Linked DNA regions of Oryzias latipes. The protein of the gene in region 3 interacts with the protein of the main gene of each other region in a pairwise test. Links are inferred from orthologs where the notes say so. Each region holds a gene or a part of one and is shown on either strand. Other genes may lie near its edges. The genes, in order: adarb1, lyar and prkra.

Region 1 (6,554 bases), about 3.7 Mb from region 3:
TTTTTAACCAAATACTTATTTTCTGCTTCAATATATATTTATTTTTTTACATTACTGTCTCATAGTTGCAGTGTATCGATGATTAACAGTACTGGCTTTTTAAATGGAACAACTTACAGAATCTGTGACAAATACTCTTTTTGCTCCACTGTATTTAAGGTTTCTATATATAAAGGTTTGTCCAAGTGTCTTCTAAAATATATTTAGGACATATACAGACACACTTAAGTGTTTTCATAACCTTTTGCATTATTTATTGTATTTACTGCTAATATTAGTTGCTGATGCAATAAATAGTGTCAGAGTGTGAAGGATGTAAAAATCTCAGCGGATGCCTTAACTTGGCCGTTACCAAGGTAACCGTTTAATTTAGGAAATTTCAAAGCCATCAGAAAAACCCACTTTGTTCATTTTTTTTTAATTCTCAAAGCAATTTATGAAAAATATCAAACATTTTGGGCTTATAAAGCCTTAAAAACAGTTCACTGACATACTTAAACGATAAGAACATAATAATTGCAGGAAGCATAATGGAGGGAAACTTCATGGTTTACCTGATTGTGAGACTTTTCCATGCGGTCACTAAGGAGAAAGTGTCCCACTTTTGCACCAGCATAAGGAGTAACCATGCAGTGAAATGGCAACATAACAAGCTTACATGCATCGGAATTACACACATGAATGTCGGGGGCACAATTCCAAAAAGACACTTAAGTACGTAATAAAAGGCAGAAAAGTTTACTTGATGGAATCTATAACTGCAGAAAAGGTTTTTCTGTATGCGGTTATACAAAAGACGGAGAATATATACGATCAGAAATGTTTGATTCCAATGAGTTGAAGGGAGATGAGAATCCTGGTGATTGTCTTCTATAAAGGTTCAGTAACACAATCCGCTCCAATCTGATCTAAAGTCCATGGAAATCTCTCTGAAAACAAAGAAATTTATCCTGTCAGGAGTTAGTCAGAAAGATGGACCTCTGCGTGAATTCATATGCGTTTTGGTTCTTTCCCCGTTTACGGTTTGAATGTGACCGATTGAATTAGATCTGCTGCAAAAGGGTGGTCTGTCCGTAAAAAGGTTTGGTATTTGAAACAAGAGATTTGTGTCTGTAAAAACGTTTTGTATCTTAAAAAAAAGTGTTCCTCTGTTAAAAAAAATAAATAAAACAAAAGCATTTTGTACCTTTACTTAGAAATGTGTGAAATACGAGCCTTGATCGTTAAATAAGTTCTTTTGCTTCTTTTCACTGTGCTCCACTGCTGGGACCAGCCGATCAAATGCTTCATTCTACACCAAGGAGATGAGACGCAATATCGGAACAAATCAGAATTTCCTGAAACTAATAATGATCAACAATTGTTTCTTTTGTTGCATTGTTGACATGAATTACACCAGTGACCATGTTTTGGGTATTTTCCACTATTTCGTTCAACTCTTACAAGTGCAAAACATTTTAAGGACTTTTGCAACAAAGCCAACTTGACAACTGACTTCTCTATCCGGCTTCATTTACTCCAGAGGAAACCTGAAACTCAGCATCTTTACCTCACTGTACAGTTTTGTCCCTGATAATTATAAAATAGAGTATATAATAGGGCAAATGGACTGTTTATCACAAAGTGAAATAACCAGGTCTTTGTTCCTGAAGGTCAGAAATAAAATAAAAATACAAGACGATCCATTTTCTCCAAACCAAAGACCCAAAACAGAACCTGTATCAGGCAACTTGTTAGGAAGAAACCATTCAAATCGTTTAGTAAAATGAGTTTCACGACATTGAATATGTTAACCAGCCATCTGTATCTGTTCAACTTGCATCTTATTTATGTGTAGTTTGCAGTTTTTTCAGATTAACTAGAGCAGAATATCAAATCCAAAGTGTTAACTTGTGCCCACTCTGGAAATCTCCCCTTCTGTCTTTATTATAGTTTCTCCAACAAAAATGACGTTTTTGGTGTGTTTTGAACATGTCCTTTTCCCACGTTTTTGATGATGGAGGACACATAGAAAGAAATGGGAGATAAAAGTTGTACGTCTGGGAATTGTTTTCATTCAAATGGTGAATCGCGAGCAGACGATAAACAATGCTTAAATGTCAGAGCTAGCTCCCTTTTTCGCAACCGAAGGGGGAAGGGGGGGCGGGGTCGCTCTGCGCCAAAGAACGTCTCACATACACCAGTTAATTTCTGAGGAAAATGAAAAGGCATCCTCATCTGCTGCATGGCTCTTCCTTTTTTTTAAATCCCTCTGTGCTTCCCACCCTTCTGTTAAACAGCTTTTCTGTGTGTCTCAGATGACGATGTGACAGAGGTCAGTGAAAGTTTTTGTCCTTTACTTATCTGGAAACTATTCTTTCTGTGTCCAACAGGTTTCTCCCGTGACAGTCGTTGCAGAGCCAAAGGTGAGTTTTTTCCTTCTACTCCTTTCATTTTCAGTCATGTGTTTTTGTCTTTTTCTGTACTCCAAACAGCTTTGAAGTTTTCAAGGTTGTGTGAAATGTTTGTTTGTTTGTTTTTAAGCTATATCTTCATAATCGTAATTCATTTTCTGCCAAATACATGTTGTTACTATGTGTGGCCACCAGAGGGAGGCAGAGTGTTTCCTATCGGGTTGCGTCTCCATCATTGTAGTGACTTTTCAGGCTGAGTGTCCAACACCCCAAAAATACCCATTTTCTTGGTGTGCAAACTTGTAAATCTGATCTTAATGTGCTGTATGTGATACAGAAGGGGTTGAAGTTTCCACTGCAGAAGAAACATGACCACAAAAGAACCTTAGTGGTTGCTTGTTGCAGGAGGGAGCTGGGGGGGGGGGGAGGCTGCTTGCTTGTTGCAAAGGTCAGATACATTTCAGACAGGTGTAGGCTGCCTTTTCACATTTGTTCATTCTTATAAACCTGAAGGTATGACTCTCACTCCTTTCCAAGTCTCCTCCTTCCTCACCACCCCCTTCGCCTCCCCCTCTCCGACTCCTGATAGGGCAGACATGGAGTCAACGGAGGAGAGAAGCAGCGAGAGGAGGCGGTGAAGAGAGGGGAGGGATAGAAAAGGAGTTTGGATGTGAGGGTAGAAACAAAGAGAGGCTGCAGGTGTGTGGGGTCGATCTGTTGCTATCACCATGTGGTCGCACAGGAGGAACTTGTAGATCATTTAATTGGGATCACTGCAGGGGTTGAAGTTTTACCTGATCTTTCAAAAGCCTTTTACTTGATTTGTTTTGGGCGTTTTTTTTTGGGGGGGGTGTAAGTGGGCATCAAATCATGGCTCTTTTCAGCAACGAGGCGCAGAGTCTGGGCTCCTATTATTGTCTGATCCGACGCAAGTTCAAGAGGAGGCGGAAGAAGCGGTCGGAACGCAAAGGTAACCCACCAGTGGAAGTTATGAGGCTGCGGAGCAGCCGAGGCGGCTCAGGAGAAAGCCTCACTTCCCCCAAAGAAACATTGATCCTGCCTCAGGAAACATTTGAGTTTTTAATGCCTTCTTGTCAGGTGGCATCAGCAGACGGCTTTATTTGAGGAGAGTTCCAAGATTAAAGCTCTACAATGAAGTTTTCTGTTGGAAGATTTTTATTTTTTATCTGGCATAATCTGTCTGGGTAACAGCTTATTTAAATTTTTTTAAGTAAAAAAAATCTTCATTTAAGATTATGTATTGTATTTATTTTACAAAAACTATTTAGAAGCTGCATATTGTCCTTCAAAAAGATAAAACATGATTTTTTTAATAGATATTAAAATTTTCTGGCATCCATTTTTAATTTTTTGCAACTTTCTATATTCGCTTGTTAATGTACGATGCTTTTCGTTTTTCTAAGGAACTTTATAAATAAGACCCACTCTGATAATTTTTTTTTAACTTTCCAAACGTTCCCAGTGGTCTTTTGATTATGATTTAGCTGTTTTTAGTTCAAATAAAATAAAAACGGTGCTGTTTTTTGAGTCATAGTTTTTGCAGAGCGACGGTAGTTTATTAGAAATTCAAATCTGAGTAGTGGGCAGGTATCCTCCCCCTCTGATGCAAAATGTGTGGGTATAAATGGGATGGCATTTTTTAATCCTTTATCACAACAATTTAAAAAGAGAAATACTCAGAAATACAATGTTAAGCTTCAGTTTTTCAATATATGCCCTCCATTATCAGAACATGTTAAAAACACCATTTTCATTGGACCGGGTCTTTAACAGCTTTAGACAATCACCTTTTAATACACCTTTCTTTATAGAGTTGATTTTTTTAAAGAATTTTATAAAGAAACTTGACTTAAAGTGTCATTTCACACAGCTGTATCAATGTCTTCTGGACTTATGGTCTCATTGTTGTTCATTGTTCCATCTGAACTTTCAAACACTGTTATCCTGACTACTAAAGAAAGACTTTTTTGTCCAAAATAAAAAAGAAAGAAAGCTTAAATTCCCAAATAACTACAATTCCCAGAGCCCCACCTATTCCTTGATAAGTCCCAAATGTTCTTTGTAAAAACCAAGCGGAGTTCATTCAGGCACTTCTAAGAAGTCGGACTAATCACTACTTACTGACGTCGTCTGGCTCCAACATGGCGCCGTCTGTATCACAAGATAATGGCGACTTAATTGACGTCATGTGGTTGGAGCTGGAAGTTGCCGTGGTTACCAAGGGTGACGTCCCACTCAGTCCAGTTGTCATCTACAGTCAGTAGTCTGCGTTCACAACAAAGTGGGCTGAGAGCCTTTTATTCAGCTTTACCTGAATTTTTCTAATAAATATTTAAAAATAAATGTAGTAGTTAAAATACTGGGAAGCTAAAGAAAAAGTACTAGATAGTTACAGTTCTGTAACCCTTCTTTCCTGAACTTCTCCTAAAATGGTGCTTCGGCCGTGTGATGCGATACCCGTTCCTGGTATTTGATATGCGTTATCTTCCAGATCATTTTTAGTGCACTCTGTAATCTGGGTTTACGAAGTCATATTATCCTGCAAATCCCAGCAGCTCATTCAATTGGATTACTAGAAAAACGTGACAGATTTTTACTTTTATGATCAGTTTTGAACTTGTTAAAACGCCTTTAGTGGCAAACTTTTAAACCTATTTGTGAAAGCTTTGCTTCGAAATCCGACTTTTGATTAAAACACACTAAAATTAACAAAACTTCATTTTCAAATTGTTTTAATGACAAAGGTGTTTAATTTAGATTTTTCAGCTTTAAGCTCTTTTGTGGTCAAAACTGCAGATTTCTGGACTTTTCGGAGCAGTTAACCAGAACACAATCAGCGTTGATGTTCATTTAATGTGGTATTTGCTATTCAAATGTCTGTCTTAACATAGATATTCTGTAGCTTGTTGTATTAGATCTCATTTCATTATCTCTTTATTTGTAGATCACCTTTGATGCTTGACATAAAGATATATAAACATAGTTTTAACGATGAGAAGTCATAGAAAAACAAACTAAAAGCAGCAATCAAAAGACGAACATAAGATGGTAGAGAAAAACGGAGACAATTAGTTCATTTTTGACGTCTTCCTGCTTCTGATTACTTTTCATTCAAAGTACAATTAGGTCTTCTAAGGGTGATTCTCTACCACACCTACATATCCCAGCTGCTTACCGTGTTGTTTTTTCTTTGGTGCTGTAGTGATCTGGATTTATTTCGGCGTGCTGAGCCGCTTTAGAAATGCTGAACTCGAGCGCATCTCTTATAAATGCGCCAAGCCTTGACGCTCGCAGACGCTGCTTTCCAATGGGCCGTGCATGAAATATGGAAAATTGGGAAGAGGGGTCTTTTCTGCCGTGCCAGCACAATCTCCAAGATGAGCTTTTTGCAAGTTTATCAGAGGGCAGAAAGGGGATCCGCACTCCAGACAGCCTCAATCATTTGTTTAATGTTATTTAAAAATATTTCAGTGCTATTTTTATTTCAAAATTCTTAATTGAAACAAATCTTTTTAGATGTTGATTGTTTTGTGTTGAAGACTTTTATTCTTTTCGTTAGAGTCTCAGTTGTTGACTAAATAGATTTCCGGACCTGATTAGCATTCGTTGTCAGCATCTCTTAAAGGAAGTTAAATAGAAAACATTGTCATTACTTCTGAGAAAAACACTGTGGATTGGAAACAACACAAACACTTGAACTCTCTCTCTCCACCTCAGAAAGGAGTTGTTTTCCTGTCTTGGTGCAATTAGCTGTGATTAGCACGTTGCTGATGACAAACTGTCAGAGGGAGAGACGGGACGCAACGCAGAGGTGCGTTTACTGCCAGAGAGACACTTCGGAGCCCAGGAGACGGATGCATGCAGCGGTTTGTGGCGACCGCCTTTGTCACCGGGAGATGAACTTCATTACCGCAGATGCAAATGGATATCGAAATGTTCCGCCTTTGCAGCAGGCGACTCTGCTGCTTCCATGTCATAGGTGTCGATCCGAAGACGGTGATGAAAATTACAATTTTGTGTGCAAGTGTGCAACCTTTTCCAGCTGTGCAGAGGAGAAGCTAAATCCTGGTTGCAATGACTGTTTTTGTAATATTGCATGGCTGCTAATCTGGCCATGGCAACCCAGCCGACATTCATTCT
Region 2 (6,528 bases), on a different chromosome or scaffold from region 3:
GACCTCTCCCGTTTCCTTCCCACCCAAACTCTCAACATCCAATCCCACAGATAAGGTGCCATTTCCCAGCATCCCCAATAGCTCAGAATGTGCAACGGGGCAGTCTTCTATAACTGGCACGGTGTATGGAAACTTGTATAAATGACGCACCAGAGTAAATCTAAAACAAATAAATAACTAAAAAATATCTCAGGGCAAAACAATTCATTCAGCAAAGAACTATGAAGCATTTAAACCAAGGGTCCCCTAATACAGGCCTCCAGGGCCAGCCTCCTGCTAGTTTTCCAGAAATCCTGCCTCATCTGCTGCTGATTACCTAGATCAGGTGAGTTTAGCCAAAAAGGAGCTTTAATGGCAAGATGGTTGGAAAACATGTGGGACACCGGCCCTCGAGGCCAGAATTTGGACATCCCTAATTTGAACCTTTGCCATTACTGTAAAAAAAAAAAAATAATTATCGACAGTTGCAATGATTTTATTTTTAAAATCTTACAAAATACACGAGCATCTAATTGACAAGTTTCACTTGGTCTTTCAGAACTCTAAACTTCGGATTTTTGCTGATCTTTTTGTTGAATGTAGAAATCAGTTGTTCCTCTGTTTTAAAATTCCTCTCGCCAGTGAAAGAGTAATAAGCTGCCAAAACCTAAAATGTAAAGAAAGCCGGGATTAACCAAAAATCAAGATTCAACTAGCAAGAAAATATTTTAGATCAGGAATCTAACAGCAAACAAACAACTCTATCATCTATAAGCCTCACTTTCTTCTTGAGCCTTTTGATGGGCAGTTCCTGGTCAGGTGTTTTACGGAGAACCGCCATGATGGTTTCCTTCCAGTGGAATTTCCCTGTAAGGAAAACCAAAGAAATGAGCAACCAAATTAACATTTTCATATAATGAAGAACAAGACTGACCTCTACTGGACTCCCAATAAAATACAATCATTTAAGGACCATAACCCACTGGGTTAAGTCAGTCTAGAGTTAACTTACCCAGAGGAACAGCTTGATCTTCAGCCTCATTTGACATCTCAGCATCATTAGCCTCTGCTGCAACCTTAACTGGAAAAAAGGTTGAAAGAAAACAGGAACACAGGCCTTAAACACAAAAACCATCCTTTTTATCAAACAAACAAAAAAGTGTTGTAATAAGAAAAAAAAATGTTATTTACTCCTTTTCTTGGCAGATATCTCATTTTCATCACAGTTTTGCTCTTCATCTTCTGCTTCTTTGTGTTTTCTTTTTCCATCCTTTTTCCTTTTCCCTGTTTGGCTTTCTTTCTGCTCTTGTGTGACTTGTTCGTCATATAGTTTTGGAGCTTTTCCGTTGTTCTGCTGCCGGGCCTCTTTGCGTTCTCTTTTGTTCATCTTTTTGTTTTTCTTCACATCTTCGTGGCCAAACGGAGTTTGAGTTCCATTAGTGTTTGCTTGGACTTCAGCTTCTTTCTCCATGTGCTGCTGTGTATCTTCTGGAACCTGGGGTGCAAAAGATTACAGATAAGCAAAACAACAGTACAGTGAAAGAATGAACGGTATTACACAACACTTAATACATTTCCAGCCCTTAAATATCACATTAATATTATTTTCCATTGATTTCCATTAAAGCTTAGGCTCCCCAGCTAATAATTTAGTGTAATATTTACTTTAACAAACAAAACAGCTACTTACATCGACGGCAGCAGCAATTATGTTCCACACTTCCTCGTGTAGGCTTGTGTTGGATATTTTTAGACTGTTTTTCATCCAGTTCTGAAAGAAGAAAAAACATTAACAGTAATAAGTAAATACACATTTTAATAATCTTCCTGGTAAAAGCCTAAACCCTTCTTACAAGTTTTGGTAACACCAACCTGAAACTTGGCTTTCTTCCTGGGGACATTGTCGTATGCACTGACTTGCCTGAGCACATCTCTCAGCTTGGGACTGATGCTTGATTTGTTCAGGGCTTCATGGATTCTCTTCAGGAAAAGACACAAGTCAGGATCCAAAAGAAAAACAAATGTTCACATATAATCGAACTTGGGAAGATGTTTACCTGTAACCACTGCTGTTGTTTGACATCGCCTTTGTTTGCCTTGGCCTCGAAGCCTTTCCCCCCATACTTCTGGTCTTCACTGATACACTTAGTGTGATTTTTATAGTCGTCGTCCCTAGGTAATACGCAGAAAAGAGTCACATTGAATGCGTTACTTGGTCAGTCACAGAGCTCATTATGCGTTAGAATAGAGTATAAGAGAATAAATCTTTATTGATCCCACAAAAAGGAAATTTCCGTGTTACCATAGCTCTATTAAAAAACAGCAGATAGATAATAACTAATACTAAAAAATACACTTAAAAATGAAGAACAGTGATTATTCCCCAGTGTAGTGGCACTCTCTCTGTGTCTTTCTCTTGTTCCACCGTTTGACGTCTGTCCGGCAACTGTTATTTGAAACGCGAGTGAGACACGCAGAGAGAGTGCCACTACAATTTAGTCAAAAAACGATATCGCTTCCAACTTTCTCCGGCTTCAATCAACAATGAGTCTCACTAACAGCATCTCTGTGACGTAGGGTTTTTAATTGGAAGTTCAAACAATAATTATTTAAATTAACTATTAAATCAAAACAGTGCATTTGGCTCCAAAAATAACTATTAAATATAAACTGTGAATTTGGCTCCAACATCCAGTGTCTATGAGGTGTTGTAGAGTCTAGTAGCTAACAGAAAGAAAATTCTGTGACAAGGTGTTGAAGTCCATGGTTTCATGCTGAGGATGATGATGAAGAGGATTGTCCATGATGCATTTCAGTTTCTGTAACATCGTCCTGTGACCCTCCACAGTCACAGACTCTATAAGGGACATCCAGAATGGAGTCGTATCTCCATACCAGTTTGTTGATCCTCTTCCTATGTCAGTTAGTGCATCCGCCACCGCCCCAGGACTTCGCCACAATAAAAAAAAATCTTAAGAGTCCTGTAAACTCTGAAGAGACCCCAGTCTCCTCAGCCTCTCCTTCGATCTCCGGTCACTTCTCTGGTGGAATTTTGTTGTTGCCAAGCAACAACAGCTGATCGATGCACCCGTATCCCACTTCAGACCCAGAAGTGGTGGGAAATAGTCAAATTAGGGCTAGCAGGCACGTGACAACGCAAAAGAAGCCCAAGGCAATCAAAATCAGTTTAGAGAAAGAAACAAATCAAGTAAGCCTACAGGGCACTACGGTAACCTGCAGCCTAGTACCATGGCACCGGTTGGAGGAAAAACAAACTTGTTCCCGACGATATTTTGTAATGTTTAGAAATAACCCAATTGGTCTTACCAGAAATCTTTTCCGCAGTCAATGCAGGACAACACCTGACACCCACGGCAGATGTTCACGTGTTTATCGACCTGGGCTTTTTTCAGAGACTCGCCACACGCATTGCAGGTGAAGAACACCATTTTGATCAATTTTATCCACAGAAGCAACCTTTCTCTAAATTAATAAAGACAATATGTAGATTAAACCAGCAAAACGACAGAAAGTTAAACCACTTTAAACACCATCAATTAATGCACTGACTAGAGACCTGCCTACGGCAAGCTAACGTTTTTTCTAGTAAGTTATAAAAAACGCATGACAAAGAACAAAACCTTCATTGTCTTTAAAAATACCCAAAAATTAGAGCCCGTTAAATTAACCTCTTTAAAATTTTAATTTGAGCGTAAACGTGCGGGTTGAGTTTCTCCCGTCTAAACTTTTGAACAGACACGTGATTACATTCCTTGAAGCTACAGTCTTGATTCTCCGTATAGAAATTTTAACTAGACACCAGTTCCGCAGACCTTTTTTTTTCTTCCTGAAAACCTTTTTTTACATTTCATAACACAAAATAATTATACTACAAAGAGGTATATTTACGATTTCAACAGCACTTTAGAAATGTATATAGTCCCACTGTTTGGGGGTTTAGTATAAGATGTATTTCTTTCCCACGAGGGGTACAAAATAAGCGTTGTACCAGGAAGTTACGTAATGTTATTAAGCGCGAGTGACCCGTCATCCCAATAAAAGACGAAACACTTCACAATGATTTTGGGACCCCTCTGAATGGATATCGACAATAGTAAAATAATATATATAAATAAACACCTTTATAATTAAGACAGGTCAGCTGTTTATTTATTAGTTGTCATTGTAAATGGCTCGAATAGCCACGCTGTTAGCTTAGTAGCAGGTCAAATTTTTGCATGGACGGTCTTGTAGCGATTCTTGAGCTACATGACAGTTATTTTTGAAAAAATATATATATATATTTATACATGGACTGCGGTGTGTGGCTCACTACTAGAGTTCAACCCTTTAATCAACTTTTACTTTTGACTCGTAATCAACTTTTACTTTTGAGTCGTGTAAACTCAGGCTGTTGTTGTTGTTTTAAATGTGATTTTTGTGTGTTTCGCTTTGAAAAGGGGGGAAGCTGAGTGATCATAAATGGAGACCCTGTCCAGCCACAGCTCCTACCTCCTACAGCAGCTCCAGGAGCAAAGAATCCAAGGGCTGCTTTGTGACTGCATGCTGGTGGTTAAAGGAGTCTGTTTTAAAGCTCACAAAAACGTTCTGGCTGCTTTTAGTTCCTACTTTAGGTACTTTTATGCATTTATTTGACAACAGAATATCCACATGAGGTGTTGCTGTGAACCCTAAGAGATATGACCATTTTTTACATTTGTTTTTCAGGTCTTTGTTCCAAAATTCTCCCAGTCAGAAGAATGACGTCTTTAACTTGGTTATCCAAGATGTCAGTGGCATTGGCCAAATATTGGACTACATGTATACATCCCACCTGGACATTAACCAAGAGAATGTACAGGCACTTCTAGACATAGCACAGAACTTACAAGTTCCAAACGTTCAGAATTTGTGTAATGCTTTCCTCAAACCTTGCCCCCCACCCGTGGAAATGCATTCCTTCACTCTCCCAGGAATGCTAGGCTCAGAGCACGATTGCCTTCTGGGAAGCAGCCTGACTCACGATGTTAACCTGCACTGTCCCACAGAACCTCCACGGCCTAACTTATACAGTGATACGGAACACACTAGAAGAATGCCGGTTTCTTTACCCAACAGCAGCTCTAACTGTGACATGTCTAGCAGCTCCCAGTCTGCAGAAAAGCCTCTGCACCATGGATACAAGCTCCGTAATTTCTACAGTAAGCAGTACTTCAAGCTAAGTGCAATTCAGACTAACAATGCTGCTTCAAATCAAGTCCCAGGCCCTTTGATGATGGCAGAGGAACAAGCGTGTCAGCTCGGAATTACCCCCAGAGCTAGTGATACCTCTGTGACTTCAGGAAACCCACTAAGTTCTCAGCCACCATCTGCATCGGCAGGAAAGGATGTCCGTTCTTTAATGCCCTCAGACAATTTAAACACTCCTAACACAGATTTAGCTGATTCTCTGAGCAATAAGCCAGTTCGCCCAAAGAAAGCGGTGTATCTGAAGAAATATAATTACCTCCGCTCTCAAAAGGCTCTTGAGGAAATGTGCAACAAGTCAGTCAATGAACCTGTTATCAGCAGCCCCATAGAACACCATCAAGGTGAATCAGTGGTGCAGACAGAAACCTCAGAAGCTCCCGTTGAAATCAGCAGCGCAAGGAGAGAGGAGGTTTCAGAGTCAGCAGAGGTCCAGCTCTCCAATCTGCCTGGAAGCCAAGATGAGCCAAATCTGAAGTCTCTGCCAGAGCCTCCACAGCAGCCAGGACACAAGCAGTATTGCTGTGGGGTCTGTGGGAAGATCTTCAAACATCCAAGTAACCTGGAGCTGCACAAGCGCTCACATACTGGTATAACCTGTTTCTGCTGAATTTGGACACCAATGACCTGTTATTACATGAAGTCTCTTAAAATAAATAGTCAATTTTTTGAGATATAGTTCTTTTTTTCTTAATCTGTTGCAGGTGAAAAGCCTTTCCAGTGCAGCATTTGTGGGAAAAACTTCTCACAGGTAATTGTGTTTTATTTTTCAAATCTCAGCCTGTTTTTTTTTTAAATTGTTATTATTATTATTTACATTTCTGTTGCAGGCAGGGAATTTACAGACTCATTTGAGGCGCCACTCTGGAGAGAAGCCATACATTTGTGAATTATGTGGTAAAAGGTAGTAAACTTCTTTTATAATGCATATTAAATTCACGCTGCCTTTTTTCAACTGAAAAGCTTTTTTTACATATATAATTGTTTTCATTTTGAAGACAAATTTGTTTTTGATGGTTTAATCTAACTAACTAAAGGAATCCTAAATTGTTTAAAAGAAAATTCTATGAAAAAGGAGATAAAATACCTTTTTTTTTAGCCATTTTATGATTTTCGCACAAAATCAAATGTTTGTTTTTTTTTAGCTTTACTGCAGCGGGGGATGTTAATCGTCACAAAGTAGTTCACACAGGAGAGAAGCCACATCTGTGTGACATATGTGGTCGAGGTATGTGATCTCTATCAGTCAAAGGCTTCACTTAAAACTTGTTCCGATGGATTATCAATCAACTTAATCTGAGC
Region 3 (6,430 bases):
GAGAGTGACAGCGTAAAAGGAGTTCTGTTGTTAAACGTCTTGAAAACAACGAACACACTTCAAACTTTTTTTAAATCTTCTAACTTAACTTTTATTGCATCTTTTAGAAAAACAGCTGCAGCTTCCAGCTTTTTCTGCAATAATTATCACAAAAATGCATGTGAGATTGTGGAGGGGCTGTAGATCAATACAGACTATGAGTTTCTCCTTTTTTTTTTCATTTTTGGATGCTGGTGTGCCGCGGGATTTTTTTTAAGCTTAAAGTGTGCCGTGGCTCAGAAAAGGTTGAAAAACACTGGCTTAAGCATTTCCCCAATTCAATTTGAAATTGCTTCAATTTCTTGAATTCATCGAGACACTTCATAAGAGTTTTTACCATCCTAAAGGATGACTAGAACAGCAGTGGATGCAGTTTATTTTTCACAAACTCTTACTGCTTAGAGAAAAGTTTCAACAAAGCTTGATTTATAGAAACTTCACATGTATTCTGTGTGTTTCTAATTACTTCTTGTGTTAAAGTGACCACAAGCAGTGCATACCCCCCCCCCTCTTTGTGGCCCCTTCAAAATGTAAAAATGTGTCCTTTGTCCCAATCAAGTAATAAGTGCTAATTCCAACAGATACTTATTAAAAGGAGGTAAAAGTAAAGGCTAGCAGGTTGGGGTAAAGGGGGCATGTAGATATATACTCACCAATATCAAAGTATGTGACTTCAAAGCCTTGCTCCAAGGAAAGCTCCAACATCAACTGAATATAATCCATGTTGGGAATGCTCAGTGGGTTTCTCCTCAGCAGGTTTATCTTCTCTGCCGTGGAGCTTCTTATGGTGTCAAATCGGACGCTCGGCTTTGGATTCTAGGAAATCAAAAGACAGTGGAGAAAGAAACGTTTCCTGAAAAGCGGTGCAGAGATGTTTCTGCAGAGGACGGAGTCTCCACTGACCCATGTGACTTCTGAACATCCTGACAAACTCTGAAGCTTTGCCATCATTTTCTCTGCGGCAGCCTTCTTTGCTGCCTTTTTGGAATTCCCTGCAGCTGCAACACAAAACACAACTTTAGGAGAAAGAAAAAACTGAAACACGCAAGGATTTTTTCTTTTGTAAATGCTCATACCTTTTTCTGATAAAGACTCCAGTCTGCAGGTGACTGTAAACTCTCTGATGTGTGGGGGGCCGGTCTCCCGTAAAACTGTGTACTCAGGGAGACGCCAACCTCTCTGCAACGCCAACTCCTGCATGAAACAAAGAGGAGGAGAGAGGATTTCAACGCATACAAAAAAAATGATTGAGTTTTTAAGAAATTCATTGATATTTCTAAATGGGATTAGTAAAAACTCTTCTGTAGGTTTATCATTATGAATGTTCATAATTGCAATTATTTTAAGGCTCAAAAAACCTGATCAAATGTTCTACAATAAAAAAGGACAAAAGCAAAAAGAGACTGAGTACCTGGAGTAGTCCTACAGAATTAGGAAGATGGTTGTTTGTTTCGGCGGCGTTGCTTAGACCCGTCGCAGCAACATGTCTGTCGAGCATCAAAGATTCATCAATCATCACTTAAAATGAGTCACATTTCTGTATAAAGAATGTCTAAAACTACTTGTATATTTGGCTAAAGCAAACAAGGAAAACTTAAAGGAGATTATTTTGGACAAGCAAGAACCCAAATATGCGCCGGCTCACCAGTTCAGGTCTACTTACCCAGCTCCAGCGTCTGTGTACAGAATATTCAGAGCAGCCTCTGCAGCTTGGTGCTTCGCAGCTTTTTTACTGGGACCCTGGCCTGAAATAAAAACATATCAATCCACTTTATTCTCCAGATTTATCTCTGCACGCAACATCCTAATAAGCAGCATTTTATGAACAAGTGCATTTTATATGTACCCCTATATTGCTTATTTGAAATAAAAACAAGCGTTTTTAAAGTACGGTATATTTTTTCTCTGAAAACTATTTGACTAAAAAGCAGATGTGACCAGAATTGTTGTTTGCAGAGCTTGTGAACAAACAGCTCTCGCCGTCCCCAGACGACGTGTTTCAGCTCTTTTCACACACATTCAAAGGATTCAGATCAGGACTCAAAGTGGGTCACTTCAGAACAGTGAAGTAATTTTTTGACCGTGTGTTTTTGGTCATTGGGCTGTTGGAAGGCTGATAATCTGTGACTGTGATTAAGATTTCCAACACTACAGAACTCATGTTGCTGTATGAGATATAATCTTGATCTCGTTATTTCCTGCACAGATTTAAAGCAGAGCCGACCCAGACCATGACACTTTAGCATACCTACGCATGTGACGTCACCGACTGTCACGCTGAAGACAAAGCTGGGCTGGTGAGCCTGGCCTTCAGCCTTCTCCATCATGAACATGGGATGGTTCCCACTTTTGATCCCATACTCATGCAGGATTTGAATTGGAGTCTTCCCAGGGTTATTCCACAGAGGTTCAACTGGGTTTAGGCTGGTGAAAAACAAGTACACCAAAATATTAAAGAAGAATAGAAACTGAATCCCCAAGATAAAAATTTAGGCGTTCAGTATGACAGCAGAAAAACATTTCAACAGAATAAATGACCAACTTAACCCCTTGAGGACTACATTTATTTCCAGCTATAAAACAAATCACTTCTGTTTTAGCATCGAAGTGATTTGATGCACATTTGCATCAATGATGATGTCTCCAAAGTTGGACTGAATGCAGCAACTGTTAAAGACCCACTTCAAAACATTTGTGTTTTTGGTATTTTTAACATGTTCTTATGGGATTTTTCTGATGATGGAGGACAAATATAAAGAAAATTAAGCTTACATTTGTATTTCTGAGTATTTCTTTATACAAGTCGTTGTGAATCAGGAGCAGATGAAAAAATGCAATTGGAAAAAGAGCTTATTTGTGGTTGAGAGCCCGGCGCCGTCTCACTTCATGATCATCCAGCACATTCAGGACCGTGATGTGCTGGATCTTCATGAATCTCACTTCAATAGAAAATACCGCAATTTTATATATTTAAAAATAAATAAATAAACATGCTGAGTCTTTTGAAAGCACACCCCAAGAAAATTGATTCCTAGTTAGAGTTACCGTAATTCTTTTTAAACCTGCCAATTGCTAGGCTTAATGACTCCCGCCTATGTGACCATATAACAAAACTCGTGGGTTTTTTGTTGTTGTTTGTTTTGTTTGTTTTTTGCAATTCTCCTTTCGGCAAACAGACGCTATAAATCAAGCCTAAATGACTCATTTGGCTATTTAAAAACCCCTAAAGTCATGTAAAGAGATTTGAACTCTTACCCTTACTCTTATTATTCCAACTTTAATTTAGAGCACACAAAACCCCAAAGAATCAACGAAAAGAATCTTTCCAGAACCGTTTTTTTTTTAGCAAAAACCCATCGTACATAACTGCAGTGTTGTAAACAATATAAATGCAGTTTTCATTGGGTTGTAACAACAACAAAAAACATCTATAAACTGGTAATAACAAAGCACCAACCTCGGTTCAGCGGTAGCAGTCATCATGGCTGGTGTCTGATATCCTTCCTGAGACATTTTGAAAGGTCAGACTGACACCCGGATACTTATTGTTTTACCCTTAACTAAAACTCCAACACGATGGTTTGATGTAGAACCAGGACATTTGATCGCAGTTGGCTAAAACATAAGGGAATAATGTTTTCATTCCCTTTCCCTTTCACTCCCTACAGTTAGAGCGTCGCCGGAAGACAAAAAGAAAAGTCCGACATCAACATCCGGGTCAACGATGGGTCAATAATCCTAAACAACAAAAACATGTTAGTGCCCTCTAGTGGTGAAACCTTTTAAAAATTAAAAATAAAAAACTATTGATTGAACATAACAGAACCTCTGGACAGAACATAGAAGGAAAAAAAACGTAATTTCATCCCGATAGAATAAACACAGAACAGATATTGTACATAAATAAATAAATAAAATAAGCACAAATTTAGCAATACAAGGCTTTTTTAAGGTAATAATCGGCAGAATTGTATCTTGAATAACTTATTCAAACTGTTAAAGAATTAAAAGAAGAAAAAAAACAAATCTCGTTATGAGGGGTTTAATGGTCAACCAGATTACAAAATGTTATTTATTTTCCCATATACTTCAAATCCCATTTATTTCGAATTCTTTTGATGTGTTGTACATTTTTTCACACATAAGTGTGTTGACATGTTCTAACGCTTAACCAAAAATGTATAGAAAATGAATTTTCTTTTCAGCACTCTTTTTTTTATGCAGACTATAATAGATTTAGCAAGGCAGAAGATTTAATTACAAGAAAGTCTTTTTTTTGTTGTTTGGTAATAGGATTCCAAATGTTACATAGAGTCTGAGAACAGAGTCTTGGGTTTTAACCAGCTTTACCTGTCTAGTTTTAACTAGATTAGGATGCCTAATATAGTTTTAACTACACTAGAAAATTTGCATTTCTTCTGCTTAAACATCTTCTTCCTCTTATTTTCTCTAGTAACAAATGCACCCCATACAGTGGTTTCACAGCATATTTTTATTTGCACAGTCAAGAACATACAGTTAGGACAGGAAACATGCACCTTTTGAAAAGGATGTTTAGTGCATTAGATGGACTAACAATAAACATTCAAAAAATTAATTGTTACTGAATAAAAAGTGGAAAATTAGGATTTAACCTCAACTCATGGCATTTATCTGAAACATTTTGTAGATATTGCATAAAGAAGTAAAAAAAAAAAAACATTTAGTCTTGCATGGAGCGTTTTTATTTAAATAAAAGGCTGTCTATGTGGATTTCCCAGCAGTCATTTATCACGGTTTGTCTTCAGGGTTGTGATGTGTCCTCTGCGTCTGACTCTCACACTGATCCAAGCGCGGGAGTTCACACCCGAACTGTTGAATCGGAAGGACTCTGTGAGAGAAACACACACACACGCAGAGGTTCAGCCTTTATCCAGTAGCTAAAAATGCTTTCATTCAAGAAAGGATGATGTTTATTGTCATGGAACAGGCAGTCAACAGTTTTTGGCAGTCAATAAGGGTCAGATGTGAAAAATAAACTTTTTTTTCATGTAGATACTGAAGTGAAAGGAGATTTTCTATAAAAACGAGAAAACAAAACATTTCCTTCGCTCCTTCCGCTGTCATAGAACGACAACAAAGAACAGAGTTGAGGGAGGAACCCTCCCCAGAAAAACTAAAAGCCACTCTTGGGAGTGAAAACATGCCAGCTGCATAACAGAGAGTGTGTTATTTATGCCTCATAGTTCAAACATTACAACTGTATGAATGAATGAATGAATAGAAAAAGAAACGGTGGCTAATTTCATTAATGACAATTCCTCTGCTCCAAAATACTGATTTACTAAACACGCATTAAACATAAATAATGATTTATTTTTTTAAGAAGAGGATAAACAATGGTAAAACCTGAGAAATTATCTAAATACACAACTTTTCTAATGATTTTTGATAACGATTTCTTGGATTTTGATTTTTGAAGGGTTTTAACAAAGCGCTTGTGTGTTAAGTTAAAGTTAAATTAAAACAACAATTTACATACTGTGTGGGACCAATAGTTCTATGATCCTACAAATCAACTGACTTTTTCTTAGCTACCTCTGCAAAAAAAAAACATAAAAATGCCAAAACAGACTGATTTTACTAACATAAATCAAAGGGCTTTCTTTAAAAACTAATGTTAAAACAACACTGAAATACAACATTGGGCTCATTTGGGAAAAGTGGCAAAGAAAGCTGTGGGTCATTGTGAAAAAAATGATAAGATTTTTTTTTTACAATAATGTAAATATAAAAAGGGAAAATAGCAATGGCCCAAGAATGGAGCCTTGAGGGACTCCAGAGGTCAAAAGAGCAGTGGTAGAAAAAACCTCAACATTGTAACAGCAAATAAATGACAGTTGTGGATTAAGAAAGAAATTAAGTCATTAAATAAAGTATTAGATTAGATTGAAACACCACAATGTTGGGGATTAGAAACTGAAATCAACAGCTCGATTTCTGATACTACTGATAAACTTTTGCACAATTGCCTTTCTTGGTGCAATTTTGTGAGCATCATTGCGCCAAAGAAGAACAATGAACTTATCTGTAACGCACATCAAACCACGAACCACGGCAGAAGAACAGAACAGCCCTCTCTCCAAGGAAAGGCATCCTTCGTGTTTTTTATTTTTTTAACAAAACATTTTTGAACATTGAAAAAAAAACTAAATTCATTTTTTTGGGGGGAAATTAACCTAAATGTTGATTTAAAAAGGGCTAAAAATGCCAAAATCTGACACCTGCAATTTAACCTGCAATTCTTTTTTCTTTTTTTTTTTTTAAATAAAAGTGAACCCTGGATTAGGGAATATCAATATAAATAGTATGACAGGTTAATGTTTCATATCCTCAAAAGTAAGCAAAATCA

The links.
Region 1: the proteins of prkra (region 3) and adarb1 interact in binary tests that used the Homo sapiens proteins (3 or more experiments, as listed by UniProt). The link is inferred for Oryzias latipes from reciprocal best matches to the Homo sapiens genes PRKRA and ADARB1.
Region 2: the proteins of prkra (region 3) and lyar interact in binary tests that used the Homo sapiens proteins (3 or more experiments, as listed by UniProt). The two-hybrid records come from large-scale screens. The link is inferred for Oryzias latipes from reciprocal best matches to the Homo sapiens genes PRKRA and LYAR.

What each region holds. Positions count from the first base shown.
Region 1 is NC_019879.2:26,491,675-26,498,228, reverse strand, and holds the start of adarb1 (double-stranded RNA-specific editase 1), read left to right. Parts: upstream 1-2,966; 5' UTR 2,967-3,263; coding exon 3,264-3,363; intron 3,364-6,554. UniProt on the Homo sapiens protein: Catalyzes the hydrolytic deamination of adenosine to inosine in double-stranded RNA (dsRNA) referred to as A-to-I RNA editing.
Region 2 is NC_019863.2:16,777,565-16,784,092, reverse strand, and holds the start of lyar (cell growth-regulating nucleolar protein), read right to left. Parts: upstream 3,767-6,528; 5' UTR 3,429-3,766; coding exon 3,307-3,428; intron 2,152-3,306; coding exon 2,037-2,151; intron 1,960-2,036; coding exon 1,852-1,959; intron 1,751-1,851; coding exon 1,670-1,750; intron 1,475-1,669; coding exon 1,171-1,474; intron 1,061-1,170; coding exon 992-1,060; intron 847-991; coding exon 761-846; intron 647-760; coding exon 509-646; 3' UTR 1-508. Other genes in the region: zbtb49 (zinc finger and BTB domain-containing protein 49), read left to right, coding at 4,462-4,613, 4,708-5,816, 5,931-5,977, 6,057-6,130, 6,372-6,454. UniProt on the Homo sapiens protein: Plays a role in the maintenance of the appropriate processing of 47S/45S pre-rRNA to 32S/30S pre-rRNAs and their subsequent processing to produce 18S and 28S rRNAs. Also acts at the level of transcription regulation.
Region 3 is NC_019879.2:22,832,527-22,838,956, forward strand, and holds the start of prkra (interferon-inducible double-stranded RNA-dependent protein kinase activator A), read right to left. Parts: upstream 3,749-6,430; 5' UTR 3,553-3,748; coding exon 3,497-3,552; intron 2,464-3,496; coding exon 2,288-2,463; intron 1,785-2,287; coding exon 1,703-1,784; intron 1,527-1,702; coding exon 1,451-1,526; intron 1,234-1,450; coding exon 1,116-1,233; intron 1,038-1,115; coding exon 943-1,037; intron 856-942; coding exon 693-855; intron 1-692. Other genes in the region: protein FAM237A, read right to left, coding at 4,803-4,909. UniProt on the Homo sapiens protein: Activates EIF2AK2/PKR in the absence of double-stranded RNA (dsRNA), leading to phosphorylation of EIF2S1/EFI2-alpha and inhibition of translation and induction of apoptosis.